Linked DNA regions of Notamacropus eugenii. The protein of the gene in region 3 binds, or shares a complex with, the protein of the main gene of each other region. Links are inferred from orthologs where the notes say so. Each region holds a gene or a part of one and is shown on either strand. Other genes may lie near its edges. The genes, in order: CNOT8, CNOT1, CNOT9 and CNOT10.

What was found.
Region 1: CNOT9 (region 3) and CNOT8 share a complex: the UniProt entries of both Homo sapiens proteins name them as parts of the CCR4-NOT complex. The link is inferred for Notamacropus eugenii from reciprocal best matches to the Homo sapiens genes CNOT9 and CNOT8.
Region 2: the proteins of CNOT9 (region 3) and CNOT1 are in contact, whole or in part, in a crystal structure (PDB 4CRU), measured with the Homo sapiens proteins. The link is inferred for Notamacropus eugenii from reciprocal best matches to the Homo sapiens genes CNOT9 and CNOT1. Residues at the interface, in NP_005435.1 of Homo sapiens: Arg19, Glu20, Tyr23, Ile26, Asn27, Ser30, Ser31, Pro32, Arg35, Pro54, Met55, Trp57, His58, Ser59, Phe60, Gly61, Ile63, Ala64, Ala65, Leu67, Gln68, Val71, Asn72, Tyr74, Pro75, Ser76, Ile77, Asn78, Pro79, Thr81; in NP_057368.3 of Homo sapiens: Ile1415, Ala1416, Thr1418, Thr1419, Gln1422, Ile1423, Lys1426, Asp1427, Phe1428, Met1444, Asn1447, Leu1448, Gly1451, Met1452, Met1454, Ile1455, Arg1458, Glu1459, Tyr1548, Gln1549, Arg1552, Met1553, Pro1554, Gln1556, Ile1557, Leu1559, Val1564, Lys1567, Gln1568, Leu1569.
Region 4: CNOT9 (region 3) and CNOT10 share a complex: the UniProt entries of both Homo sapiens proteins name them as parts of the CCR4-NOT complex. The link is inferred for Notamacropus eugenii from reciprocal best matches to the Homo sapiens genes CNOT9 and CNOT10.

The regions. Positions count from the first base shown.
Region 1 is NC_092872.1:383,230,859-383,238,726, reverse strand, and holds the start of CNOT8 (CCR4-NOT transcription complex subunit 8), read right to left. Parts: upstream 3,004-7,868; 5' UTR 2,915-3,003; exon of another isoform or gene 2,673-2,914; intron 1-2,672. Other genes in the region: FAXDC2 (fatty acid hydroxylase domain-containing protein 2), read left to right, coding at 3,718-3,867. UniProt on the Homo sapiens protein: Has 3'-5' poly(A) exoribonuclease activity for synthetic poly(A) RNA substrate. Its function seems to be partially redundant with that of CNOT7.
Region 2 is NC_092872.1:715,395,943-715,402,960, reverse strand, and holds the start of CNOT1 (CCR4-NOT transcription complex subunit 1), read right to left. Parts: upstream 3,011-7,018; 5' UTR 2,548-3,010; intron 1-2,547.
Region 3 is NC_092877.1:317,094,517-317,101,576, reverse strand, and holds the start of CNOT9 (CCR4-NOT transcription complex subunit 9), read right to left. Parts: upstream 3,010-7,060; 5' UTR 2,877-3,009; coding exon 2,760-2,876; intron 201-2,759; coding exon 21-200; intron 1-20. UniProt on the Homo sapiens protein: Component of the CCR4-NOT complex which is one of the major cellular mRNA deadenylases and is linked to various cellular processes including bulk mRNA degradation, miRNA-mediated repression, translational repression during translational initiation and general transcription regulation.
Region 4 is NC_092874.1:22,783,868-22,791,551, forward strand, and holds the start of CNOT10 (CCR4-NOT transcription complex subunit 10), read right to left. Parts: upstream 3,016-7,684; 5' UTR 2,954-3,015; coding exon 2,727-2,953; intron 1-2,726. UniProt on the Homo sapiens protein: Component of the CCR4-NOT complex which is one of the major cellular mRNA deadenylases and is linked to various cellular processes including bulk mRNA degradation, miRNA-mediated repression, translational repression during translational initiation and general transcription regulation.

The DNA.
Region 1 (7,868 bases), on a different chromosome or scaffold from region 3:
GTACAAAAAATTGAGTTTGTCTCTATACGTATATCTCTTTATATGTGTATACATATATATGTGTGTGTGTGTGTGTATACATACACACACATACATACACACACATATATAGTATGGAGATGAGGGAATTTATTTTGTTTGATCATATGATTAAAAGAAATTTTTATTTTTTCCAGTGGGGTGGGGGAATAGGAGGAAGAGAAGATAGATTTCTTGTCACTGAAAAACAACTTAAAAATATGGGGGGATGATACAATTTCCGACGTATTTTATTATTTATTTATTTTAAGGTGAGGTCACTATTTATTTAATTTACTTTTATTTTGTTACAAGAGATAGCTAATAGAGTGGGATAATCTGTAAATATTTATAATGTAAAAACACATAAGTAAAACTTAAAAAAAATTATCTCACCTAACACTATTCACCATATTGCAATCACTATACTGCAATAGTCATCTGAAAGTAGGTCCACAATAGAATTCAATTATTAGAAGTACTAAAAATATTTTATTGTAAAGCTGATTTATACACATATCCAAGTGCAGCATTATAAAGAACTTTCAGTGTATAGGCAAAGTCCCTAGCCTAGTAACATCCAAATTTATATTAGTACTAACCCAAAATAAGTCCAGGAAGATTTTTTTACTCTATAAATTTAAATTAGATAGGTGTTCCAGTAGAGATTTGAATCAGAATAAAAGTTTGCATTGTGAAGCACCACAGATGGATGTTCAAGATTAATCTTCAAGAATACAAGGATTAACCCCAGTGGACTCTAATTAGCTAGCCCCTTCCCTTTCCCACACAAAACCTTCTAACACTTACATGCACAGGCTATCCAATATCTTATACTTGTATGTTCTTAAGGAACTCTTAAATCATTCCCTGGTCAGGTGCTGACTTCCCATTTAGTTATACTCTTACTTAGGGGTGGTGATATTTCTACTTCCTTTAGCGTAAAGCCGCTCCGCCAATACCACTAGTACTACACAGTACCCACACCAAAACATGAACTCAATAAAGACAGCTTGAATGAACAAATGAAGCGAGATAAAAAGAGTCAGTCTGATTTGCTGAGAGATGCACCAAATTGCTAGAATCAAGGTCAATTAACACAGAGGTTCAGATTCTAACTAGTGCTCGTGATGAAACAAGTAGTTTATGGCATAATCGAAAGAACACTGGATTTGGAGATGGGACCTGGGTTAGAATTCTAGCTTTGCTACATACCATCTGTATAACTTCGGGCAAATCAACAATCTCTCAGACTTAAATTTCCTAAACTATAAAAATAAAGTAGCAAAATCTGCCCTGATTTTACAGAACTGTTTGAGGATAATAATTGATAACAGCTGAAGTTTATACAGAGTTTACCATCACAATCATCCAGCTCTGTATTAGGACTATGTTAAGGTTAAAGTTTCACGTTTGCAGAAACTAATCCACTGCCTTATTTCTCCAGAGTAACTGAAACAATACACAATCACTCCACTTCAACGATTACAGTTAAACTACTGTCTGGGCCAGCTGGAACAGCCTGGAACAAGTCACTTAAGGACAGAGGCAACACAAGGTAGTCCAACTAAAAATGCCTTTGTTTCGACGCTCAAATCCGGGAGGAAGCTTAAGAATGGAAGAGTAGAAAGCATTTCGTCTGAAGCCACATCACCAGGCTCTCTCACATACCTACTTAAAAGGGGTCCAATGGGGTCTGCTCATTGGGGAAGAAGGAATAGCTGCGGTTCTCAGCCCCTTATTGTTTTATAACTCCAGTTCAGGAAAAAAAGTTCTGAGGTTTTCAATGTTATCTCTAGTCATTAATTACATTTAGTGTTTCCTGCATCTTACCCAAGAAAATAATTTACTACACCAACATCTATGAAATGCAGTAGTATGCGAGTTTTAAAAGGTTCCTTAAAGCAAAGACATCAAGGATCAAGTCTCACCCTAAGCCTATTACTAAAAACTGAATTCATTCTTCAAAAGGCTTCCTATGCCTAAAAATAGAAAACATAAATCCATCAAGACATTGCTTAAGTACATAAGTACACGAAAGGGTCCAAGACCACAGGGTGTCCTTTTCCTATCACTGCAGACTGCAGCCCATCCGCGCCTTCTACAGAAGGAAAGGAATGAGTCATGTTCGGGCACTGGTTAAACAACGCAAACAACTATCCACAAGCTCCGGAATCATCCACTGATGGACAAGGCTATCCAAGATACGGACGTTAAATAAAAAATGCGGGGGGGGGGGGGAGGAGAAACAGATCCGCCGGTTGAATATGTTTGTTAAACAAGAAGGGGCTACTGGGACGCCCGCGGTATTCTCTCCACCACGTACACAAAGTTTCTGCCAACGCTTCCGTGCCAGGCAGCCCCAACCCTGCCCCTCTCAGAGCTGGCATGGGCACCTAACCAGCTTGCTTCTCCACGGCAAGGTTCAGCTTTGGCCGCAGGTAGATGGAGAAAAGGTGGAGAATGGTAACAATTAAGGAGAGTGAGAGGGGCGTAAACAAGGCGGCTCTCCTTCCTCAGGGTCTACACCTCAAACTTTCATCCCCCGTTCCTCCTCCGGACAATGAATGCTCCCTTCTCCCCCAACTCTCCGGCTTTAACTTTACACTTTCCCTTCCAGACTCCTCAGGCGCAGGGGACCCGGCCCCGCTCACCTAGGCCTGCAGGGCCCGCAGCGGGCGGACGTAGGGGTGCGCAGACAGGCGGACAGATTCCCCGGGGGGCGGCGGCGTAGGAGGAAGAGGCTGCCCCCGGCCTGCCTCCTTCCTCGCGCCGGCAGCCCTTGCCCCGGATCTGCTCCCAGCACCGAGCGCAACAACGAGATAGCACCGGGACCTTATGCACCACCCACCCACGCTTCCTGACCCGGCTACTCTAGCCTGCTCAGTCTTCCGACCTCGCCTCCTCCCAGATCCCTCTGCGTCACGCTGGACGCGAGCGCGCCTGATCGGTCATGTCAGCTCCGCCCCCTCGCGCGCCCCAGCGACCTCTCGCGGGGTCGCCGAGCCCGTGCTCTCCGAGGGAGGTGTGCGCAGGCGCAGGGCCACGAGGCCGGCGCGCTGGAACTATGGCGAGTAAGAAGACGGGGCGTGGGGTGGCAGGGGTAGGCATTGGAGCACGCTGGCGGAGGACAAGGCCCGACGCCTCTTCAGCGAAGAAGCGCCGCGAGGACCGGAGATTTCGTCATAATCCCCTCCACACCCCCACGAAGCTCTTCCCGCCTAGCGCCGGCGTCCGGCTCGAGGACAGAGAGGGGCGTGGCTCTGAGCCCACTACGCTGCGGCGGGGCGTGGCCTCGCACCTCCGGCGGGAGCCCCTCGTGGTCCTTTTCCCGCCTGGCTTTACTGGCCTTGAATGACCGTTATTGCCGTTGCAATGCTAAGGAATGGACACCTCTTCCAGTAACGTCCTAGTCCCTGCACAGGAAGACAGATTCCTGGACTCGGTTCGGTGCCCCCCACCTAGAAAAAAAACACCGCAGAAAACCCATTACCTTCCCGCGGTTTCTGTGGCTCTCCAGCGAACGCTTCTGGGGCGAGGAGTCGGGCCGGCCGAGGGGAACACCTTTCCAACCGGGCCGAGACCCAGAAGCAGCGTTACCTTGACAACGGAGATGGCGCTATTCCCCCACCCCGGCTTTTTCTCCTCTTGGATCGAAGAAAGTGACAGACTCGGACAACGTGGATAGAGGGCCTTCTGATGAGAGCCCCCTCCTCCAGCCCACCCCCAAGCTCAGAGCTCAACAGCCTCGTGCACTTTGGGAGACTGACTCTACGTGAAGACTTGGAGAGCAGGGACAGTTCACCCCTGCCTTGGTCTGGTGGAGAGCTCGGGAAGCGCGTCGTCAGGGTGAGCCAGCGTTTGCTAGGACCTAGTTCTGTTCCCCAGGGTGGGTGTAGCTGAATACATTTCATCTCTTACCCCTGATGGAAGATGGTCATCATGGGCCCCCTTAAGGCTTTTCTACTATCCAGACATCCTCAGCTCCTTCCGTTAACCCTGATCAGGATGCTGCACATTTACCATAGCAATGTAACTGTGACTGGGCCTTGGTTCTAAGGTCCAGGTCTCTCAACCAGGGCATCCTTCTCTGGATTGACTCCGCTTGTCAGCGTACTGTGGGCCCTCAGACAGAAAACAAAGCTCTAAGTCAATTAGGGCCATAAGACTATCCTCATTCCTTCTAAGCACTAGAATTCTAGACCAGACCTGCACAACTTGGCAGTGTGTAAGGGCCAAAATTAAAACAGGCTGAATTTCATTAGGTCACAAATAGGCTTTTAACAGCTCATTTTCCAAGTAAAGGTATAATTAATGATTAAACTGTTTCTCAAAAACTTTTTTTTAATCGGGACATAATCCAAAAACTAGTCAGCAAACACTTCTTCATGAAGTCACCTTCAGTAAAAGACTTCCTAGCAGCAGCAATTTCTTTAGAATCTGAAAACTAACCTTAGTAGCCGCTTCACTTTCTGAGTTTACTTTCTTGAAAAACTGTTGTTCCTCGCTGAGATTTTTCAACAATTTGTATGCTTTCATTTTTTTTTCCATTGGTGTCCAATTTGCTTAAGTCAGGATGTTTTCATTCAAAATGGCTAGGAAGACTGTATTCCTTTGGAACAGCAATTACTTCTCAGAAAACAAGGCACAATATTTTGTCTTGTGTAAATAAACTATCTATTTGCCCACTCCACATTAACATTCTGTATTCTGATTCGATCTTCCATTTCTTTTTATCACCCATTTTACAAAGTCACCCCAAAAACTTTAATGTTACAACCAAAACTTCACAACTGCTCACATATGAAGAAATACTGACCTGAGTGTCTGACTTTGGAGAGAGCGCCAGACACTTGTGTAACTTGCAGGGCGACTGCACAGCAAGGGAGGGGAAGAACGCCTTGTTATTGCCGCTCGTTGCATAGCAGGCATTAGCTGCATTGGCTCATGGCTGCACTCATTTTGTCCCATCACCAGTAATGACTGAAAACATAGTGAAAAGGTACGACTCCCTTTCTCTCAGACTAGACAGACTGATGATGGTTGGTTACCCTGGGTCTCATGACAAATAGAAGAGAGTATGCAGTGGCAACCCACTTTCCAAGTTACATAATGGGCACAGTAGTGACTAGTGGAAGTCAGGTTAAGTGGGGCACATGGACAAAGTACTTGTTACATCTTTATCTTTCACATTCCCTACATTTTTTGTGGGCCACCTGAAATCCTTTGGCAGGTTGCAACTGGCCTTTGACCATATGTTGTGCAGTCCTGTTCTAGACCCTAAGCAGTTTTTAACCAGGATTTTCAAATTTCAGTTTGGAGAACAGGTGCCAGCACTGACATTGCTTTAATAAAATCAACTCACTTGAAGACTGGGCAGAGCATTGAAAAACATCCCCAAAGGGCTACCTCCTATCAGTGAAACTCCGGGATCAGTCCAAGAATCATGTTGCCAGCTATTTGTGACCACCTACTTTCTCTGTAATCCACCCCACCCCAGACCCTTATCCAGAGAAGAGCAAAGAAATTCCATACCAATCAATCACTGAACCAAAAGTGCTTATACTGGCTGGTTTTTATTTCTTGGGCATGTTCTCTATAGAAATTCCAGCTTAGACCACCCCAAAAAGCCCCTGAAGGTCTCCAAATCGAACTTTCTGAACAGGTCCCAAACCACAGCACCTACAGCAGATCCCGAACAGCCTCCACAATGGTTGGAACAATGCACTAGACCTAGATCATCAGTATTTTATTTAGAGCTGTGGGCCATCAAAATGCGTCAGTTCCTTCAGTCCTACATCTGTTCCTCCTGACAAAAGTGATCATCCATCTCAGATCTTCCAGGTTAGTCCTGATTTCAAATATTTTTCCCCCATAAACCAATATTTCAGCAATTAATAACTGAATAAATCAAGTACACATAACAAAAAATGTCAGTTGCAAAATATATAAAATCACAAGGAGTCTACATATATGTAATATATATGGACATTTTTGTACATATATAAAAGTATAAGTCTATGTACACATTATGTATGCAAGTGGTGAAAAGTAGACTGCAAATGGCAATTTCTAATCTTAAAGCCTAGGAACATATTGCCTTATGAGTGGTAATATAAAAAAAGCCTGTACAATTGTAATGTCAAAGAAGTTTGACCATAAAATATTGCCATCATGCCCTTATTTCTGTTCTTACCAACAGGGAGCTATGTTCAACTTAGTTGCTCTTAGGATCTTCACACACACACCACACACACACACACACCATTGTCTGCATATTTTTTTCCCTATGGGGATAATAGAAAAGACTTCTTTAATGAGAAATTTAACTTTTAGAGTGTCAGGCAGAGAAACATTCCCCTTTCCCCAGTCAGGTCTATAGATGTTACATTATCTTTTGCTCACCTTTAATAAGATTCAGTAGATGAATTAGTCTGTGCCAGCCAAGGGCTATTTACAAGGAGGAACAAGCCCTTTCTTATGACTTTTATTTTGTTTTGGGCTGCTGGCTGCAGCAATCTCAATTTAACAGCCTTCTTTGGGAGACAATCAAACAGAAAATTCACTGTCCTCCATTACAGCCCCATCACTCAGAACTACTTGTACATTTTTAGATACATTAAAAACAAACTCACAAATATCTTGTTCTTTGGTAAGTGTGGGAGTGTCTTTTTTTTTCTTTTCAGTTAGGCAGTAGATTTTGTTACAGTCATTTTGATGCACACATAAAAACAACTATTTAGATCTTAAATTCTTAACTTTTGTATGTCACAGACCCATTTCACAGTCTAATGAAATCTTGGATCTCTACTCAGAATAATGTTTTTAAATACATGAAATTACAAAGGAAACAAGGATATTTAAATACAGTTATCAAAATATTTTTTAAAATAAGTTCACAGACCTCAGGTTACCAAGGTTTAGATGTATCCTTGGGAGAAATGAGTCTAATAGCTCTTTGATGGGAACCCTTAAAATATTATTCCACAATATTATATATATATACATGTATATATATGTGTGTGTATATATATGTGTATATATATATATATATATATATAATATATTAATAGCTCATGTTTCTGTAATAACTTTAAAATTTACTAAGAGCTTTCCTCACAGCAATCTTTAGCATAGGTAATGTATTACCTTCATTTTATAGATGAGGAAAATGATGCTGAGAGAGATTTGCGAACTACTAAGTTTCAGATCTGGGACTCAAATCCAAATCTTCTGCTACATAAGTTCTTTCCACTACAAATATCATAAATAGCACATCTTCTAAGTACGTATCTTTACTACTCAATTATAAGGAATGCTCTTCTTTAAAGGATCTACTTTAAATAAAACTAGAAGCAATGTGTTAAGATAGACATAATAGAGCATCAAGGATCAAGAGACCTGAGTTCTAGTCCCAGGTTTTCAACTTTCTGTGTTGCCATGGGTAAACCAGATCACTTCCACTCTGTGGGTCTCAACTCTCTCCCCTGTGAAATGAAGTGGTTGAATCAGGGCATCTCTAAGGTCGCTTTTTGTTTCACTTTGATCAACTGTGTCCTCAAATTCTTTCTGGCTTCAGCATTCTGTAATGTTTATCTGAGTTATAAGTCCATCCTTTCGCATTCTTAAACTGTTTCACAAATAATGCACGGGAGGCACTGGAGTTTTGGGACTCCAACCTCTTGATCCAGTCAAAATGGCAGACACTGTCAGAGGGGTTAATAATCACCTTTACTCTAGTCTAGTCTTCTCAGAAGGTTTGCTGATAATGAGAGTTACTACAATATTCCCTAACAAACCTTTTCAAAGGGGCCAGCAGAAAGGGGAGGGGGCAACTACCAAGCACAGCT
Region 2 (7,018 bases), on a different chromosome or scaffold from region 3:
ACTACATCCTTACCAACTTACAAATAATAACTTACTAACCTACAACTAAATTAGTTGTCTGGATGACAGAAAATGTTTAGCTGTGAGGCCTTCCTAAATACATCTGTGCAGATGTAAATGCTGCAAAAAGTAAAAACTGAGAATACATGGGTAAATTTCAGTTAGAAATTCTAACACTAAAAAAACTTTCCTGCAACTTGTTATAGATCCATTTAACATTTTAGGAGTCTTTTAGTAACTATGACAAGCACTGAAAGAACCCAGAAATATTTACTCTAGTTTTAAGCAGTAACTATATTATAGTCATAATAAAACTTCCTCACATTCCTGCTTTTCTTCAATTGCAGCAATTTGCTCAAAAATCCTTAGAAGTCTACTTATAATTACAAGCTTACTTACACAGAACATTGTTCAAAGGTCAAATTCAGTTTATTTGGTTTTACTTTAAAATATGAGGCACACTTGAGACCATGCAAATTTTAAAAAAAAGCGCCTCTATCACTTTTATCCTTAACCTTTGCTTTTTAAAAGTTAACCTCAGATTCAAGATTTAAGCAGAAAGAGCATTACTGGTTTTTCTATCTCCATAGCTGAGATTGATGTCTCAATAGGATGCCATTTTGAAGTTTCCCAGCAAGAACTTCAGACTAGTTTGAGGACTTAGAATAAGGTCAGGAATGCATAGTAAATGAAGAAATTTAGAATGTCAGTACATCAGTCAATACATTTTTTAAGGATTCCTGAAAAATCACATTTTATTCTATTACGATAAAAAATAAACTAAATTCCTGAAGAGGCCATTTTAAAATGGCAGCATACCACTTTTTACTTCCAGAAGTGCAAATATTTTTAAATGCTCAGTTTTGTTTTTAAAAAAAAAGTTGCCTAAAAGCATACTACTGATATTCTACCAAATAAATTTCCCTCTTTTGGAAAGAATGCTACAAATTTCCTGACTTCCTTACAGAATGACACCTTGTCTGAATTCTGGGAGGTCACAAATTTTAGGAAGTATAAAACTAGGCAATAAGATCCACAACTCAGTATCTGGCTTAAAAAAACTGTGATTACCTTAGAGAAAAAGACTATATTTTTAAATTTAGTCAAGGATATTGGGGGGAGGGAGGAAGTTAAGGGGCCACTTCATTTAAATTATATCTTAAATAACAGAAGATTTGGCATTTTCAAGATGCTGAAAAAATTCAAGGTCTTCTATCTGAAGCTGAAAGGTTGGGAGTGAAGACAACAACTTGAGCTACCCCTTGCAGATGGTTCCACCGTGGTGCCTAAAGCTTATTAAACTTCTTCTGAAGAGTCTAGGACCCAAAACGTTGTTGCCAAAAGGCCTGCATGTTCAAGTCAGTTTTACCAAAATGCTTGCGTTAGAGCTGAGATACTCCACAAAGGTCTAAAGCCTCCTGGAGCTGCAAAGAAGTAGTTTCATTCTCTCAGAAAAACAATGTAACAAGTACCAGTCTCCGGAAAGGGGAGCCATTAACAGTAACATTAACCCTCTGCTAAGTCTTTGCAAGATAAATAATTCTCACCCGAATCACAAAAACTGTCAGTTTTAATGTTCTAAGTTTTTGTATCCTCACTCACTGTAACCAAAGTATCCAACGTTTCTCCAGCAGCCTAAGGACGTCTCCGTAAGCAGAGAAAAGGGGCTGTCACTCAGACCCAAGGGGAGAGGGTCCCGGGGGTTCTGAGACTCCCCTTCCCTGGTTCACTTATTACAAGAACGGGGGGGAGCTCCCCAGCAATGGGGTTGAGGCTCCTTTTCCCTCCGATCGATGACAAGCAGTTTTGTTTCCCCTTTCTGCTTTTCCTCCTGTTCCCCGGGCCTGGCACACAGTAGGCGGACCTGACGGCCGGGCCCTCACTAAGCGCTGGCTGCTTTCTCTACTACCAAAGGCGAAGTCCAGGCAGAGACCGGAAGGGCTGGCACACAGCAGGCACTTGGTGCCAGGGGACTTGGCTGCTAAGGAGCAAGGGCTGGGGGCGGCCTCAGGCACTGGCACCCAGTAGGCCCTTTGGGGAGCGCCGTCCCCTCGGAGCCGCGTCCAGGGGAGGCTCCGGCCGCACCGAGGCCTACAAGTGTCCCGCCCGCAGGGGGCGGCACGTGTGAGTGTGTTTGTGTGTGTTTGTGTGAGTGCGCGTCCGCGCGCGCGTGGACGTGGGGACGCGCGGCTGTCGCGGAGAACCAGCTGGGGGCCGCCCTCCTCTCCAGGGGAAGCCGGCCCCACGGGGCCCCCGGCGCTGACAGCGTGCGCGGCGCGGCGGGGCGGCGGCGCGGCCCGGCCCAGGCCTCGGCCCCCCGGCTCTCCAGCCCCGGGGCCTTCCCGCCGGTCCCCGAGCGGGGGAGGAGCGGGCCGGGTCCCGGGCCCTCCCCTCCCCACCCGCCTCCCTCCGCGGCCCGGGAAGAGGCGCCTCCGATGGCCACGGGACGCCCCCCCCCACACCTCGCTCCCCTCCCCCAGCCCGCGTCCGCGTTCCGGAGCTGACGCTGCGGGCGACTCTCCGGGCCCCCCCTACGGCCGGGCTCACCTCAGGCGGCTCCGGGGGCGCTGGACACAGGCAGGCTCCTGGGTCCCGGGCTCTCCCTCTCCTCGTCCCTCCTCCCCCTCCTCTCTCTCTCTCTTTCTCTCTCTCGCTCGCTCTCTCTTCTCTCTCCTCTCTCCTCTCTCCCTCTCGCTCACTCCCTTTCTCTCTCTCTCTCTCTCTCTCTCTCTCTCTCTCTTTCCTCTCTCTCTCTTTCCTCTCTCTCCCTCTCTCTCTTCTTCGGTTAACTCCGCTTGTTTCTCGACAAAATGGCGCCGGAGGTCGCGCGCTCACGTCGCGGCCTTTCCCCTCCCCGTTTCCATTTCACCATTCGCTGCCTGCTCGGGGCGGGAGGTCCTGGAACTGGACCAATCACGATTCCAGACCTGTGACTTCTATCCAATCAGTGATCCGGGACCGCGGATTTAAACCAATCACATGCTATCACTCGAGGAAAGTAAGGAAGAAGCCCGGCTCTTTCTATCAACCACCAATCCAAACTAATCTTTCGCGGGCCTTGGCCAATGGCCGCTCACCGGTCCCTCGGGAGCTGGAGTCAGGCCGCTCGCGCCTGCGCTCGTGAATCGGGCCAATGAGAGTATGTCTATGCTTCGATTTGAGGCTTCTCGAACATCCCGCCTGCTCTCGAGAGCTTTGACCAATAGGATCGCGGCGTTGCATCCCTGAGCAACAATAAATGAAGAGGAAGGGAGCCGAGGGGGACGTGGGGAGAATAAAATGCCCACAGGCGGGAATTTCTTTTGCACCCATAGGATTTTTCTCCCCTCCCTTCTTTCGAGAGTAACACAGCTCAGAGGTCCCCCATTCAAGAGATCAAAGTGACAGTCTGGATTCCCCGCTTTCTCTTCTCTTGAAGTCATGAGGGCCATCCCCACTCCCGAGCTACCCCATTACAAATACCTCCTTTTGACTGCCCCCCATCTCCGGACTACATTTCCCATTATGCAACGCAGCCTCGGGCGAGGGAGGGTGGAGGAACGAACGCTTGCGCGTTGCATTTTGGGATACGTAGTTTCCCCAGAGGTTAAAAGTTGTAGGGGGAGTAGTCTTTGGAGCGAGGCATGCTGGGAGCTGTAGTCCGTTGTGCTTTACACCTGGCCTTTAAAGAGAAAGGTTCCAGGAGGCTGCCCTAGTTTACCTGTCTTCCCCATATCCTGTCTAGGTGGAGTCTCCTCCTTGTAAAGCGACCCCTAAACATCCTCAGAAATACCAACTGAGAGAGCTAGACCTTGCAAATCAGCCAGTCAAAGCCTCTTGTTTTCCAAAAGGGGACCTGTCCAAAGTCACCAGACTGGGAAGGATCCTTTGCCTTTGGGATGCCAAAGCTGGAAAGGACTTCAGAGACACACACACACACACACCCAATCCAAGTCAATTCAACAAGTCCCCTTATTCCACAGAGGAGTAAACGGAGCTTAGGTGACCTGGCCATGGGAGGTAGCCAGAGTTAAGATGTAGACCCCAAATCCAGGGCTCTTTCCTTGACCCTCTTCCAGCTCCTCTGCAAAGCCGGCCTCCAGAGGAGCACTTGTTAGGAGCACTCCCACCTGCCCCAACATCATCCCCAGCAGAGAATGGCTCTGTCCCAGGAGACTCTCCGCCCAGCACCCCACCCCTAACCCCACTCCCAAAGTCCCTTTTGCACAGGCTCCAGGTACAATCTCTTCTTTATCCATCTTCTCTGGGGAAGACTCATGAAAGGTGGCTGTCCACCCAGTCACTCCTCCCATTGTTTTGTTTTAAGCGTTTCTTTTGCTTGGAAACAATAATAATAATAGCAGTTTGTATGGGACTTTGAAATTTACAAAACACTCTACAAATGTAATCTCATCGGATCCTCGCAGCAGCCCTGGGATGTAGGTGCTGTTCTCATCTCCAGGTTACAGTTGAAGAAACTGAGGCAGAAAAGGGGTGAAGTCACCCAGCCAGGAAACATCTGAGGCTGGATTTGAACTCCAGGTCCAGCGTCCTATATGATGAGCCAGAGAGACAAGCATTTCTGAAATAGGGAAGCCGGATTAGCATTCATTGACATTCACTGACAACTCATAGTTCTAGGGTACACCATCATGGCTTCAACAAATGGTTATGACTCCATGATGCTCATCATGGGGCAGAGGCAAGAGTCAGTACTCAGGCACTTATTACACACTTCCTGTGTACTAGGCATTAGCTAAGGGTAGAGGATACAAACAAAGGTAGGAACTCCCTTTTCTATGGAGTTCCCATTCCAATGGGAGAGATCTCATGTAAAGAACCAGAAGACAGATAGTGAGGAGATGGAATGAAATCCCAGAGGAGGAGACACCAGCAGCCTGGAGGGTGGGGGAAAACCTCCTGCAGAGGGTGGGATTTGAGTCATCTGAAAAGAAGAGGCAGAAGCGAGGAGTGAGAGACAGCACAGAGGTCCAGAGAAAGGGGATGGACCGGCTTCTCTAAGGGACAGCAAGAAGCTTACTGGAACTAGCTCGTTGGCTGCATGAAGCCACCAAGAATTATCAGAGCCCCCCAAAAATAACCTTGTTATTTAATCAATTAGTTGTGTCCAACTCTTTGAGACCTCATTTGGGGTTTTCTTGGCAAAGATACTTGAGTGGTTTGCCACGTCCTTCTCCAGAAATTTTACAGATGAGAAAACTGAAGCAAACAGTGTTGTAACTTGCTCAGGATCACATAGCTAGTGTCAGATTGAATTTGAGCCTAGATCCTGACTCCAGGGCCAGTATGCTAGCTACTGTACCACTGCCCCACCCACCCACTGCACTACCTAGCTGCCAGTTTGTAAAGGGTTTTAAATGGCAGAATGTGACACCCAGTCTTCGAAAGCTAGAGCAATGGAACACAAGTTATGGGAAGTTCTACTAAGATGCAAAGGTTTCTAGTTGAGCCCTAGGATGGATAGTAGCTATTGTCCAAGAACCAGCCTAGCTAAGTAGAATAATGCTCATCTCCAGCTAGGTGATAACCAACTAAGTAATGAATTCTTTGACCGTGGTGTATGCATACTATGAGCAAAGCATTGTACTAATTTCCTAAGGGGTGTCTTACCCTACTAATGGACTGTGGACTCCAAGAAAACAGAAACCTGGAATCTCAGCTTTGTATTGCCTAGCTAGCAACTAGCATGGTGTTGTGCACACTGCAGCTGTTCAATAAATATCTGTTGAATGTTGTTTTTATTGCCTGTCCTTTGTTCTAAAAGAGGGCCATGACAGAATGAGTGGATGGATAGATGGATAAACTAAATAGTTGAGAGGATAAGACATATTTGTTTAATAAAGATTTAAGTAACTGAAGAAGAGACTGTGTAGGGGAATGGAACCTAGAAGAATAAGGCAAGGTCCCTGCCCTCAGGGAACACAGAGCTTGGTAGAGCATAGGGAATAATCAGATGTTAGTTTAAATCAGACCCCATACATGGCTTCCAAGTGCCAACAGATGACAAATATTGACCAAAGTTGGATCCCCTTTATAAAAGCAGGAGTATAAATTATAATTTGCTACAACACAAAGAAGGTGAGATAAGTTTCAGGGGGAAAGGGTCTAAACCAAGGGTGGGTAGCCTGTCCCCCCTTAATAAAAGGATTTGTCAAAAGGACCTAGAAGGCTGCAAGTTCCCCACCCCTGGATGCTAAACTATGATGAGATTTCATAAGAAGACAAGAAAACCTAGGAAGTCTTCATAGAGAAGATGGCATTTAAGCTGGCTGGGTGGGTCCTTGAAGAATGGGAAGGATTTTAGCAAGAAGTGATAGAAATGTAGAGGGGAAGAGGGATGGTATTCCATGCATATGGGTGGAAAGACATGAGCAAAGTCTCTGAGGCAGGAGGGAGTGAAATACATTGAAGGCACCCAGCTATGGACACAGGCAACTCTATTACAACAAAAAATGAAACAGACAAAAGAATAATAATATCTGGAACGTATAGAATGCATTAAGGTTGCAAAGCGCTTTACTTACGTTTTCTCATTTGACCCTCATAACAACCCAGAGAGGTAGATGCTATGATTATCCCCATTTTACAGATGAGGAAACTGAGTCACACAGAGGCTAAGTGACTCATTCAGGCTCACACTCACTAAGTGTTTCAGATAGCATTCAAATTCAAATTCCAGACTCCAGATCTTTAGTTCCATTCACTTTGCCCCCTACCTGCTTAATGATAATTTTATGATAGGCATCATAAAAGTGGTGTCCACATCCCTCTTACATCCTATGTGAAAGAAGAACATAATCTGGTATCAGCTTAACTAAAACCCTATACTTTGATTCTAAGTGTCAGTATATAAAAAATATTGACTGAACTTGGATCCCTTCTGTGGAAACTTGAAATTCAAGAAGTTTAAATGCAATCGCTACCTGGATACTAATGACTGATGGTGTATGGGAGATTTAGGTGCAAGCAGCACTGAGCCAGCAATAGGAGGGGAAGCAGGCTGCCTATATTCTTTCTC
Region 3 (7,060 bases):
ACTGTCCAATATATACCTACCTGTAAGAGAGCTGCAATAGTACCAAAAGAGTGCCACAACATAGGAGCAAGGTCAGGAACAGATTCACGCTTTTTACTCAGCTCCAGGAGAGCATTTTCCCTTGTCTCCGGACTGGATAGCTCATTGATCCACTGATAGATCTTCTCTCTATCCACTTGGGCCAATGCTGTGGGCACAGGCTTAAAGGGCAAGAGCATACACAGAAATGAAGTTTCATTAATGTCCAGCTGTACATAAGAAACAAACTTAGATGCACGTGATTCAATACTTGAGTTGAAGGGAAGTGTCAACTGGCTGATGGGAATTATAACTGTTAGAGCAGTAGTATGACCTGGGCAAAGTCACTTCTCAGAATCCTCATCTGTGAAATGGGAGAATGAGAGGTTTGAAAAAAATGATTTCTAAGGTGCCATCTAGCTATAACATTCTAAACTATTTCTGATACCTATGTCTACCAGAGGTAGGCTACTGACACCATTTTATAGGTGTGGAAACATAGGACTTAAGAGTGAAACTGATTTACTCTGAAGCAAAATTAAGTCAGTGATAGACTTTGAAAAGATATACTTTTAGACTCCCATCTATTCCTTTCCTGTTGGGGTCCCCTAGACCATTTCGGGAATCCCTAAACCCCGACCCAAGGCTCTTGTCCAGCAAGAGGCCTTGATCTAGTGAATAATGAAATGAGGTGGGAGACAAGGTGGTGAGAACTCCGTTTATTCCAGCTAGTTCACATGCATATATAGTCTTAATTACGTGAACATTCCTAAGCCTATACATTGAACCTATCACCTAACATTATTCCTTATATGGGTATCTTCTCCACTGGACATCCGGAACTGGACAAAGAACTGCCACGTTGCCAAAAAAGACGAGACCCTTCCTCCTGAAATCCATCTAGTTCCACCCCTACTGACAAGCCCCCAGGTTATCTAGGCAGGCTCTCAGTGTGGAGTCCTGCGATGGACAGGGGTCAGCTCTAATTCGTCCCGTTACAACTCCCCCTTTTTGTTTTGGTACAGTTGTTCTTTCATAGCCAGCACGGTATGCTTAGTGGAGAAGAGGGAATTACGAATTGTTAACAATATCCACTTTAATAATATTGGTATAATAGCAACTAATATAAGCAATGTTAGTAATCCTGATCCCAATGAAATTAGCCAAGTTTTTAGTGAGTGCCAGGGATCAGCATGTTGGAAAAAATCTAAGATATGTTGAACAGTTTTTTGTGGAAGTAGGTCTTCATGGGAAGCCTGACTGATATATTCTGCCAATTGAATCAATTGTTGGAGCTCTGAGGTCACATTATCATTGACTACACCTTGTAATTGAGCCCGAATCTTTTCCCATGCTATTTCAGTTGCATCATATTGTTTTGGAGTAAGACAAAAAGTATTATACCTATAATCACATTGTAACTTTGCTTGTAATTCTAGATATGCAACTTCATGTCCCAAGAACAGTACTGCTTTCTGTAAAGCACGAACAGCATTGTAAAATTCCTTATCCATTTGAGCCTGACATTGAAATCCTTCTGAGACATTGCGCATGAGACCATGAAGAGCACTCGCTTCTTGGACACTATTCTGCGTGTTAGAGACAGACATTGCGAGAGCAGTAGAACTAACAATTAGCTCAACTAATAAGGTTATACCTAACACTACACATGAGATACATCTTTTGAATCACATCAAACTTGCTGTCTTTTGATCTAATACTGACATAATATTGTCAGCCGGAGTGCGATACCATCCTTGTGTTTTCACTACTGTGAGTGCATACTTTGGCCTAGTAATGATGTAAAGCCTTCCTTTATCAAATTGTGGCCCTATGCATTCATGTACCGAACAATTCGGACAAGTTAAATTGAATATCCCTGTCATATTCATATGTGGCACGAGTGTAGACTGACTTGTACGATCCCACATAAAGGCATGAGATGATCCTAAACACACTCGCGCCGTAAGACTAATACGGTTTGTAATTATAGTACCATTTGGTGCTACAATTATAAATGGTCCTACAAAACCTTATACTGTCTGTCCCCCAATAGTGGCAATCACCCGTTCAATCCCTGCTGTATAAGAACCCTTGTTAGTAACATATCTAGGACTAGGATATCCTGAGACATAGCGATCTGGCCCAAAATACGATAGGTTGTGACAGGAAATAAGGCTCTTATTATAATGCTCTAAGAATAACACAGTCTGTTGACATTGATGTGACTGACAATCTTCAAATGGTACAAAACCTGAATAATTACAATAAATGGAGACATTGGGATCATCCCTCTTTCCACGTTGTGGCCCAAATCTAAAAATCACTTCTCATTTTTGTCCCATGTCTCGTGCCCCATCCATTTTTGTACAATATGGTCTATATCTCAAACTTATTTCTCGTTTTAGATCCATATCTTGTCCCTCAATGACCCAAGTCCATAGGTGAAAGAGTCTAGAGTCCCCTCGATAACCCAAAGTCTCATGTCCCAGAGTTATGTTTGCACACCATGTCATATCGGCCGCTATATCATTAAAAACCCATGCAGTGCCATTCCATCGTCCATCAACCTTCTTTTGAAGACAGAGCGGTAATCCTGTGATCAATCTAGTAAAGTTCATTCTTGGCTGTGAACCATTTGATTTACCTATAAATTCAAAGCCTGCACCCCCAAACATGTGTGACAAACTGCCATGTAATACTGGTGTTGGTATCTTTTCACCCCATCTTATGACCCTCACCCACGGAGGATTCGGGATGAACGCCCAGTGATGTGCATTCCCACTTGTCTCCTGGGTCGGAGTTGGACGTCCTCCAGCCCCAAGAGTCAGTAAGAGAAACAGAATCAACCTCCTCATTTTGAAGACAAAGACTCCTTATTTGTTCTTCCAGCTTCTTTCTCCGCTTTGCTGCTCTCAGTCTCTTGCCCTGTGATTTTCTTCCCATTGTCTCTTTCTTCTATCAGCCGAAGCCTGCGTACTGGGACCCACTGTTCTTTCTCTTTTCCTGTGGAAATACAAGCATAACTCTTTCCCCATATGATTATTTTTCCCGGACCATGCCATTGTCCTTCTGCATCACGCCACATTGCCGGTTTTCCTTCATTCTCTATTTGTGTTTTTTCTAGAAGTGAAGTTCCTCTTGATGTTTTTATAGCAATAGCATATTTCATGGCTGCTGAAAGATTCTTATCATTGAACTTTAAATAATTTAATGTGTATAAGGCTAAATTGAGAGATGCCTGATGGCCTTGTGTAATTCCCCCTTTTTGTTTTTTGCAAGTAAACCTTGAGGGAACGATTTGCCCTTTCAACAATGGCTTGGCCTGTAGGGTTATAAGGAATGCCAGTAACATGATAGATGGAAAATTCATAGCAGAATTTTTTAAATGCAGCTGATATATAGGCTGGGCCATTATCTGTTTTTAAACATTTTGGCACTCCATGATTAGCAAAACATGCTAGTAAGTGAGTTGTCACATCTTTGACTGCTTCACCAGAGCGAGCAGTTGCCATAAGAAAGCCTGAAAAAGTATCTATACATACATGTATATATTGAGAACATCCAAATGATGAATAGTGAGTGACATCCATCTGCCAAATATCATTTGGGCAGTCACCTATAGGATTTTTTGAGTATATAGGTGGTGGTGGAAGAAATGGAGCACATTGGGTGCACGCCTTTACAATCTGCCTTGCTTCCCTTTTTGTTATGCCAAATAAATGTCTAAGAGATCATGCAGACAAATGAGATTTGGAATGAGCTAATATTGGAGATGACTCCGCATGAAAAACTTGCAAGGCTTCATCAGCAATTGCATTGCCTTCAGTTAAGGGACCTGGTAAATTAGAATGTGATCGAATATGTAAAACATGGAATTTATTAAATCTACCTCTAATAGCCTTTTGTGCTTCTAAAGTAAGATGTGTGATAGAATCCTGACGTGTAGGAATATAGGCAGTCTCTAAATTGGGTATTAACCCTGATACATATTTACTATCTGTGATAATATTAATAGGGACATCAATTAAAAGAGCTTGAAGCACAGCAAACAGTTCATTTTGTTGAGTAGAGGTAAATGATGTCTCAAACACTTGTAACCTCTTTTCAGATGGTATGTATAAAGATGCTCGTTGATGTTTTGTGGCATCTGTAAAAACACTGATCCCTACTACAGGCGACTCAGAATGCTTGTCTGACCAAGACCATGGCCATGCAGTGAGTTGATCAGCAAATGGCACAGGACCGCCATGATGATAATCCTGTCCAATTATAATTTGCCAATCTGAATCTTCCATAAAACATTTTTCTAATTGTTGAGAGGTATAGGAAGTAAAAATACTTGCAGGGTCCATACCACTAAGAGCTCGTGCCCTCTGTATGCCTTTCCAAATCACCTTAGCCACTAGGTTTGTATAAGGAGAACATGTTCTGTTTTTTACCTGTGGTAAATGAATCCACTCAAGGATTCCTAATTGCTGATGTAAAACCCCAGTTGGTAAGTTTGGAGTGAAAAGTATAGTTAAATTTATTTTCTCTCTCTTATCACATCTTTGAGTAGTTTGTTGTATGAGAGTATTTTGAATATTCTTAATACATGTAAGAGCTTCAGGGGTCCAATCCCTACTTGAATTAAGGTCAGGAGAGCCTTTCAATAATTCATATAGTGGTGCTAATGCAGAGGTACAGATACCAAGCCTTGGCCTGCACCACTGAATCTTTCCTATCAGTTTTTGGAAATCATTCAGAGTTTTGACCTTTTGTACATCAAAATTTGGAAACTTAACTTGAATCTCTCTGTCTGATAACTTATATCCTAAGTAATTAATTGGTAGAGCCTTCTGTATTTTTTCTGGTGCTACCTGTAGCCCATGCTTGCTAAGAGTTTGTATCCCTTCCTGTAACATATTTTCTAGCAGTTCACCATCTCTGTGTGCTGCCAAAATATCATCCATGTAATGTATTATTATGGCCTCCTTATATTTCTCTCTCATAAGTTGAAGCACTTTATGCACATACCATTGGCACAATGTAGGACTATTCTTCATACCTTGTGGCAGTACTTTCCATTGATACCTCATATAGGGTTCCTGTGAATTGATGGAAGGTATGGAGAAAGCAAATCTCTGTCGATCCAGAGGATGAATAGGAATACTGTAAAAACAATCTTTAATGTCTATAACCTATATTTTATAATCTTTTGGTATCATATTTGGTGAAGGAAGTCCTGGTTGTAATGAACCCAATAGTAAGCATGGATGCATTAACTTTTCTTAGGTCTGTTAACATTCTCCATTTTTCTGATCTCTTTTTAATAGCAAACACAGGTGAATTCCAAGAACTGAAAGATTCCTCTATATGTCCTAAACTAAGTTGTTCTTTGACAATCTCCTTTAAGGCTGCTATTTTATCATCAGTCAAGGCCCACTGGTCAACCCAAATTGGTTCATCATCGATCCATTGTAATTGTGGAACAGGTATGGGTTGTGCAGCCATTTCAGGGGGCCCCACTAAAAATTTTCTATTGTAGATATGGTAAGGCCTATTTGTGACAACAGATCTCGACCCCATAGAATGACTGGGAGTCCTGGTAATACATGTGGCCAAACCTTTCCTGTTTTTCCTTCAAATTCCCATCTCAACGGCCGTTTTGCTTCAACCGCTGCCTGAACACCTCCTATACCATATAAATTTTGTGTTTGCCCTACAGGCCATGCAGAATTCCACTGCTCTAAAGGAAAGACTGTACAATCAGCCCCAGTGTCCATGAGGCCTGTACATCTCCTCCCTTCTATAATGACTGTAAGTTATGGCCTCTCCAGAGTAATTTGCTGTGTTAAGAATACTTGCGAATCTGCCATTTTTGGAAATAGTAATAACACTGCTATTTTTTGTCCTGCATCTAATAAACTCTCCATATTAGTAGTATTCATCATTGGAATATATTGAAACTTGATATCAGGTGGAAATATATGTGTTATGGGTATCATGCCTGTATATTCATGAGTTGTGGGTGCTAACAATATTCCTATGCTATCTGGTTTAAGCTTAATTTTTTCCTGTATGGGAAGCATGACTGTACTCATTGGATTAATAGAAAAATATCCAGCACTATGTAGGTCCTCTATTTGAAAGAATGTATTCCTGCCAATTCCTGATATCTCTGGTGGAGTGCCATCGTGCTGGCATTGGGATTGTCCTGCCATTGGCTGGCAGAGGGCGGTAGAAAGCCCATTCCTCCCCTTTGTTCCTGGGCTGGGGAGGGGCCCGTTAGGGTGTTTAAATATTGCTGAGGTGGGCCATTATGACATTCTGATGCCCAATGCCCCGGTTTTCTACATTTTGGGCAGGGTGTCTTGGGTCTTGCTCCCCCACTTTGTATCGGCCTTACTTTGGAATCCTTTTTGAAATGTCCCAACTTGCCACATTGAAAGCATTTTTTGTCTGGTTTTTCAGTCGGCCTATTTTTTACATCATGAAATGCCTGGGCTCAAACTTGTGCAGCATAGACCTCACTACCCACTATCTCACATCTTTGTAACATCTCTTCCAACCCAGCATCCTTTTTCAATCCTGTCATGGCCTTTTTGCAGTCTGTATTACAACTGTTTCTCAAGATATCTTTGATTACAACTACAGTCCCTTCTACTTCCCCCATGATCTTTGTCACAGCATCTTGAACTCTTGCACAAAAGTCGGCGAAAGGCTCACTGGGTTTTTGCTTTAAGGCACTCAATGAAGTTTTACTTTTGCCTTTAACTGGCAACTTGTCATAAGCCCTCTCTACACATTGTGCAAGCCGCTCATATAATTCCACAGGGTGCTGAATTTGTGCCCTATCTGTGCTATACTGTCCACCACCGAATAACATCTCATAATATCTTTGAGCATTTTGAGGGTTATCAGGATTATGGTGTACTGCCATTAATCTGCATTCTTCAGAAAACATCCCTAACCATACTACCATCTCTCCTGGCATGAGGATGGCCCTCATAACAAGCTTGCAGTCATTGGGGGTAAGTACATGTGAGGCCAAATCTTT
Region 4 (7,684 bases), on a different chromosome or scaffold from region 3:
ACCAAGACACTTTTGAAACAACTCAAGGTTACCCATTATCACCACAAAGACACATGCTTTTCTATCACTTGAACAGCAACACTGTTTCAATGGCTGTTAATAAAGCATGCTTGGTAGTACAATGCAATGCTTTTCATCGTGTGTCCAGCACTCACACGCAAGGATTCCCTGGAGTCAGGAGAAAGCTCTGTATGTGCACATGCTCTTGGCCCTCTCCTCCTGTCACCTCCAGCAGGTTACAACCTCCATCTTTCTCAAATCTTCAACCTCTTCCTATTTTACTGATTCCTTTCAACTGACTTCAAATATGCCCAAGTCTTCCAAAGTTTAAAAACAGATGGATTTGTAGGTTCTAGTGAACGCATCTGTTTAAAAACAGATGCGTTCACTAGAACCTACAATGTCCTACATATCTGTTCCTCTTCCCAGCTCCATTTTGGGTATCTCCACTTCTCTCACCCTCTACAGCCTGTACTCAAACTACTCTCTCTCTAGTTACCAAGGATCTCTTAATAACCAAATATGTGCATCTTTCTTCAATCCTGCTTCTTAACCTACCTCTGATACTGTCAATCATTAGCTCCTCCTGGATGGACACTGGCTGCTCCTCAGTCTCCTTGGCTGGCTCTCCATTCACACCACACAACCTGGGAATGTGCCCCAAGGTTCTGTCCTAGGCTTCTTATCAACTGACATGGGTTCAGTTATCATATCTACTCAAATAACTCAGATCTAAAAATCAGTCCCCGTTCCTAATGAGGTTCAATTCAATATTACCAACTGGACATTTCAAACTGGACATCCCAGGTATCATTCAATGTCTCTCCCTCTCCCCCAATGCATCCCTCCCTCTTCCAGATACCCCTACACCAGCCTTCTTGACGGATTGATTTTAACAGTCTTCCAAATTCAGCATTAGCCTCAATGCCTTCCTCCCCTCACCTCATGTATCCCATCAGTCACTTCCATGAATGCCACATTATTTGTAGGCCATTCTCTCTCTTCGAAGCCAACACCTTAGTTCAGGACCTCAACTCCAGTCATCTTTTTTGGGTCATGGACCCCTTTGGCTATCTGGTGAAACCTATGGACCCATCTCAGAAAAGAAATTTTTTTTAAATACCAAAAATAAAATACAATAATAAAAGAAGCATTTGAATTTTTATATATTTGTATACTGCTTCAAAAAAGTTGCTTTAAAAAAAAGCCACAGACTACGAGTTCGGACCCCTTAATCTAGATTGCTGCAGCTCAGTTCAGGTCACTGGAGACCCCTATGCCCCAGTGAGTTTCCTTAAATGCGGTTCTGAGCGTGTCAATCGCCCATCAGACTCCAGTGGGGGCAAAGACCAAGTCCCCAACCTGATCCCAACCTATCTTTCCAGCCTCACTGAATGTTTACTCCCTCTTCCCCCCTGCAATCCATCCTCACCCACAACACTGTTCTAGGTCACCTGCCCCCAGACTTGGGACGCAAGCCTCTCCTAATCCGCAAAAAGCTGGGGCACCACCATCCGCTTGCACCCTGCATCTCCGTCATCTCAGGCACAGGAAGGCATGCTCCTGGCAACAAGAGGCTGTCTCAGCCCCAGGGCCCGGAACAGGCATCTAAATGCTTGTGGGCAGAAGAACCAACACGGCCAATTTGAATACAGAATACTGCCCCAAAGTGCTGTGAAAGGGCCTTCCTTGCCAAGGGTGCTGGATGGTGACAGTTCCAAAAGGGGCAGGCAGGAGGAACTGAATTAGGGATGGAGTGGAGAGCAGGGCTCCGAAGCCTTGGCACAGGCGGGGCGCTCACTAGGTATATCTCATTCTTTACTCCTGACAATGGACCACCGAGGTCCTTCTGATCACGGCTGTAGGGTGAGCGTCGACAGCACTGTGGGATGGGGCTAGCCCAGAGCAGGGCCCCGGCGCTGGGCACACAGTGTGGGGGGACCGGGCGCAAAAGGGGGGGGGGCCGGGCTCACAGTGGGGGGGGCCGGGCGCACAGTGCGGGGGGGCCGGGCGCACAGTGGGGGGGCCGGCACCCAGTGGGGGGGGCCGGGCACCCAGTGGAGGGAGCCGGGCACACAGTGTGGGGGGACCGGGCGCAAAAGGGGGGGGGCCGGGCTCACAGTGGGGGGGCCAGGCGCACAGTGGGGGGGGCCGGGCACCCAGTGGAGGGAGCCGGGCACACAGTGTGGGGGGACCGGGCGCAAAAGGGGGGGGGCCGGCACCCAGTGGGGCGGCCGGGCGCACAGTGGGGGCTTAGCCAAGGCAGCCTTCAGAAGGATGGATCGAGCTCCAAAGCCACGAGCAGGGAAGGCATCGCTGGGACTTCTGAGAGCCCCCTCCTCATTTCACATAAGAGGAAACGGAGTCTGAGACCCGCCCACCTCCCCAACATTGACCAGGACAGGAGGCCACACAGGCCTCCGTCCCCCAAGGTCACAGTGGCAAGGGGCCTCCGGAGGAGAGAACTGAGGCCCAGAGGAGGCGGTGCCTTCGGCGGGGTCACCGAGGGGCGGCTGAACCCCGGTCAGGCGGGGAAGAGAAGCGGGGAACTGTGGACTCGGCGGGCGCGACGCGCCCGAGGACGGGACTGCTGCGCATGCGACTTCCTCGCCGCGCATGGATCCCGTCCTTCCCTCGCGCATGCGCAGTCACCGCCGCACCGAAGCTAGAACACTCATATTCCTCCGCCGCGCGCGCCCCAGAGCGCTGGGCCGAACCCTCCTCACCTGCGGCCTTGTCCGCTGCCATCTTCCCCGCCCGCTTCACGCGCCTCCCGGCCAGCGGCGCAGCCGGGACTCCGGCGGGGGCGACCGCCGACTCGCTGCGGTGCCAGCCTTCGCGGGCCTCGCCGCGGCCCTGGCGGGAGCGCGGACCAGCGGCCACAAGCCCTAGGCCGCTCCCGCAGCGGGATGATTGCTTTTCTGTTGGCGCCTGTGCGAAGACCTCCCGCCATCCACCGCCGGCAGCCGCCCCTCCCCCTTTCCTGACACGCGACTTCCGGGTGCTTCGCGCGCGGCGGAGATGGGGGCGGGGCGAGAGGAGAGGTCGCGGGAGGGGCGGGGCGAGCGTGGGAACGGCGGGCGAGACCACGCCTCGTGGTGCTTACGTCAGAGACGGCGGGCTCCCCCGACCACGTGACCACGTCCCCCAGGCCCCGCCTCGGACAGAGGAGGGGGTGGCTCTGGGCGCTGCCCCTGCGGGATGAGCTTGGCTGGACTTAACGTTCTGATGACGGTGACTGACCGCCTTCGCTGGCGGCTTCCCGGGGCCTACCCCGCCCGGAGAGGGCGCTCCCGGAGGGCCGAGGCCTTTCCTACTCTCTGTGTCTCGTCCCCCGCGCCCGCGGGCACTTAAGAAGCGCTCTTTCGTGTCTTCCACGGACTGTGGATGGGGATGACTGGGGCGAGCTTCCAGTCTCTGCAGTGGGGTCCCCTGGGACGTCAGACCCCGGTGGGGTGGGGGGCCGCGGGTCTGTCCGGGAGAGTCCCCGGGAGCGCCCTCTCGGCGGGGAAGCCTCGCCGTGTCCACGTTACCAGCCACCTTTCCATCTGGCTGGGTCACGGAGCGAGGGCTAAAGCAGCGCCTCCGGGAGACCCCTGGGGGGCCTGGGCGCCCCAAACTCCTTCCTACGTGCAGACCCTCCGGGGATCCTTCTGGAGAAGGGCCTGAGGAGGGGCGGGGACCATCAGTGTTTGTTCTGAGAGCTTCGCATCCCGGCGTACGCGCACCCCAAAGTCCGGGGCTGAGCTGGGGGGGCAGGATCAGCCCGCAGGAGGAGAAGCAGCGAGCCTTAGAGCTGGGACCCCAGGGGGGCCGGGGCCCCGCGGCGGCTTCTCGGGGTGATGCCAGGTCAGTGGCGGCGGACCCTCGGCTGACCAGTCGTTCATCACGCCGTCTGTCCCTATTGCGAAGCGCCGTTTCCTGTACGAAGTACCGTAAAGTGGGACGATGGGTACCATGGCCCCAGAAGTATGCTTAGACACAGAATTATTTACAATTTTAAGTACGTTTTTTGTCCCCGATGCGCTTGAAATACGATAGCCATGATGAGCACGCAGTATCGCTGCCAATAAAGTAAATGAACCTTCCCTCTACCTTTGTGAAGTGGTGGCTGCTGGGAGAGGGAGGAGAGGGAGGAAGAAGAGGGAGGGCTGCTGCTTGGAAGGAGAGGAGTGTTCTCTCTTAAGGTGCTCTCACCGAAAGTAAGGCTACCATGACTGCCTTCGTTTAATTTTCACTGATTTTTCTTTAGATCGGCTTCCGACTAGGACTCTATCTTACGATACTTCTTGTTTTTTGGGGGGCTGCGGTGGAATAAAGATAGCTGCTTTGAGTTGAAATTGTATTTTTAAAAAGTGATTAAAGGAAAAAAAAACCAAAACCACATTAGCTGAGCGCCATCCCTTTGTGAGCTGTTCAAGTCCAAACATGATGTCCGTACTGCAAACTTTTGTTCGTCCTGCAAGACAAATTTTGCGAAAAACTTTTCCTTGTCCAGCAAAGCATACATAAACTAGGTTACTCGCAAACTGAGGTTCTGTATTTGTCTTTTATATAGTATTAGACTTTGCAAGGTGGATAAGCCTGGTACTGTGGAGAAACCATTGGCTCAGCAGTCCTGAGTTCGAATCCCATCTGTCACTTGCTTTGATTTTGAACACCTCACTTCATCTCTGGGGCTTGACAAATGAGACAAGTTGGACCTGCTGACCTCATAGTCCCTTCTGCCTCTAAATCTGTAAGTACACTCGTAAATGTGGTCTGCAGACTTTAATCATTACAAGTTCTTTTTCGGTAGCATTTTTTCATGCAGGATTTCATCTGATCCTCACAACAATCCTGTGACAAGTATTATTACTTCCACTTTACAAGAGAGGAAAGTGAGGATGAGAAAGGAAGTGACTTGTCTAGAGTCACATATCTGAGAAACCAGAATCCAAATGCTCTTGGTTTCCATGAGGCCACACAGAGCAGAAGGTGAGATAATAGATGTGAAGTGTTTGGCAGACTTTAAAGCCATATCCAAACATTACTTAGTATTATGACTCTTTCCTCATTACATTAGCACAAAGATGTTCAGGCTCCTTCCATAGCATGTATTAGTGGTGTGAGAATTGTGATAAAAGCTCCCAGAATCATGGAAGCCGAGGAGGCCGGCGTTGAATCACTTGAGATTGAAACTGACAGTCTTCCCCTGGTGGCATCAGCTCTAGCTTGTCTTTGGCAATCTGTGCTCCAAACTGAAAAAGCCTGAGAATTTGCAATCCCCAACCGAGCTCTGCCATGTCAAGACACTGAAATAAATGTAAAGTTTCTTGAGGTAACTCCCCCACTTCATGTGAATGTAAGTGCTCTGTTGGTTTTTAAATTTCCATTTTTGTAGCTCCATGGTACGTCACAGGTGGATTTTCCCATGGAAGCAGCATCATAAGCCAAGCTACTGATATTACCCATTGTTCTAACTGTAGAACTGTAGGCCCTTCACTCCGTCCCTCCAAATCTCAGTTTCCCCATCATTAAAGCAAGGACAACAATAATACTCAAGTCACATCCACAGCACTTTGAAAACTGAAGCCTTTGGGACATGCTTAACCATTATTACCCTCCTGATAACCCTTTGCCCTCTTGGAGATGTTTTCTTACCAGATTTGTGATTTGACTCACATGGGGGCTTGGTAATGAAGAAAGATCCCTTCTCAATGTAGGTCAGCACCCTCCCGCTTCAGAGTGACCCGAGACACTGTTAAATTAAGGGGCTTGCCTGGCCAGGGTCACGGAGTCAGTGTGCTTCCCAAAGGAGTGACGACCTCCAGGCTTCTTGACTCTGAAGTTGGGGCGCCCTCTACTTCTCCACTCTGCTCCTCTTTGTCTCGGAGAAAAAAAGATCTCCAAAGGTCTCCTATCAGGTTCCCCTTGCAATGTTTGGGGTAATTTTTTTTGCATCCTCAGTGATCATTATTACTATGATGTGGTAGACAAATGTAAAGTGCTATATTGTTGGAACTATAACAGCGAGGCCCAAGTTCAAATTTTGAGTTCAAATCCAGCCTCAGATACTTCCTAGCTGTGTGACCTTGGGCAAGTCACTTAACCCTGTTTGCCTCAGTTTTCTCATCTGTAAAATAAGCTGGAGAAAGAAATGGCAAACCACTCCAGGATCTTTGCTAAGAAAACCCGCAAAGGGGCCATGAAGAGTTGGACATGACTAAAATGACTGAACTTATGATCAGGAGCATTTATTAAGCTCCTGCTATGTGCTGGACACTGTGCTATTTTCTTGGAATACAAAAACCACAATGAAACAGCCCTCGGCATTAAAAAGCTTTAATTCTATGAAACTTAGGATTCTTCCCTCTGCATTGACTACATAGCAGGTACCACCTGTCATTTTATATGCTGAGCAGCCTTCTTTTTAGTAGCTTGCTGGAGCCCCCTGCTGGGGTTGTTTCCACATGAGAAAAGAAACGGGAATAAAAGCCTCAAATTCAGAACTGAATTCGAATTCAGAACGTTCCAGGTCATCTTAGGTTTACCAGGTTCACATGTAATGTGACCCCTCCCCACCTGCAGCGTGAGTGTTGGGGGAGGGGCGCTGACTTCCAGCTGTCGACTTGGCTGCCAGACTGGAGCCCTGTTAAAAAAAGAGAGACAGTCTCTCTCTGCCCTTCAATAAACAGTGTGTGATTCCAGTGAGGGTAATGATGGGTATGGAGGGGCACCACTTCAACTCAACTAGTCTAGTTTATCCCTAGTCAGGATTCCTGGCTGCCTTTTCCTTCCTCTTATGTGTTTCTTATGTACCCAGGTGGCCAAGCAAGAACATTCTGAGTCTCCAAAGGGCAGAAGGTCTTCCTTGTAGGGCTGCACCATCCCCAGAGTAGAAGTGGAGAGCAGGGCTGAGAGAGCCCACTGGGAAAGAAAATCGAGCTTGGTTGTTTGGTTGGAATAAATGCCAGACAAAATGTAATGTAGCTAACTAGATTCCGGCAAAAGAAAAAAAAAGCTCTGTTCAATGCCAACGTATTTGAATATTAAGCTGACTATGCTTCTAGAAATAAGTTAAATTAGTGAATTCTACTCAAATCTTTTTGCTACTGCATACTTTGGTTCCTTTAAATTCAACCTTCCTTTTTTTGTGAGTAGGAATAAATCACCTGCCTTATCCCTTCATGTTTGCACATTGGGAACCTCTTAGACCTTGGAGCTGAAACGATTCATTTGATTGACACCTTTCCATGCAGTAGCCATGGTTGGGACTTATGAGCCAAGAAATGTGAGAATGGGGAGCCTGCTTCCCCACCCCTACCCCCAGGAAGTCAGGCTTCCCCAGGACCAGTGAGGAATGAAGGTTCCTGCCCCCATGGCTTCAGCTGAGCAGATTAGGTACAGGTGAGGAAAGTGAGGCCCGGGAGAAGAACCTGCCCAGGTTCACATAGTTAGTAAGCCACCCAGTTGCTCCTTCGATTCAGAAACCACTGCCCTTTCTTCCTAATATCTGTTCTTCTACATGCACCTGTAATGTTGACATGTGAAGACAGGTGAGCACACAGAGCTCTCACCACCAAAAAAGTTCTTACGTGAATCTTCCGAGAGGCCCTCCATGTCCCTGTTTATTAGCACTTTCTACCAGCAGAGGGCACAAATAGAACTAAGTTAAAACTAGGTTTGATGATATTAGCTCCCT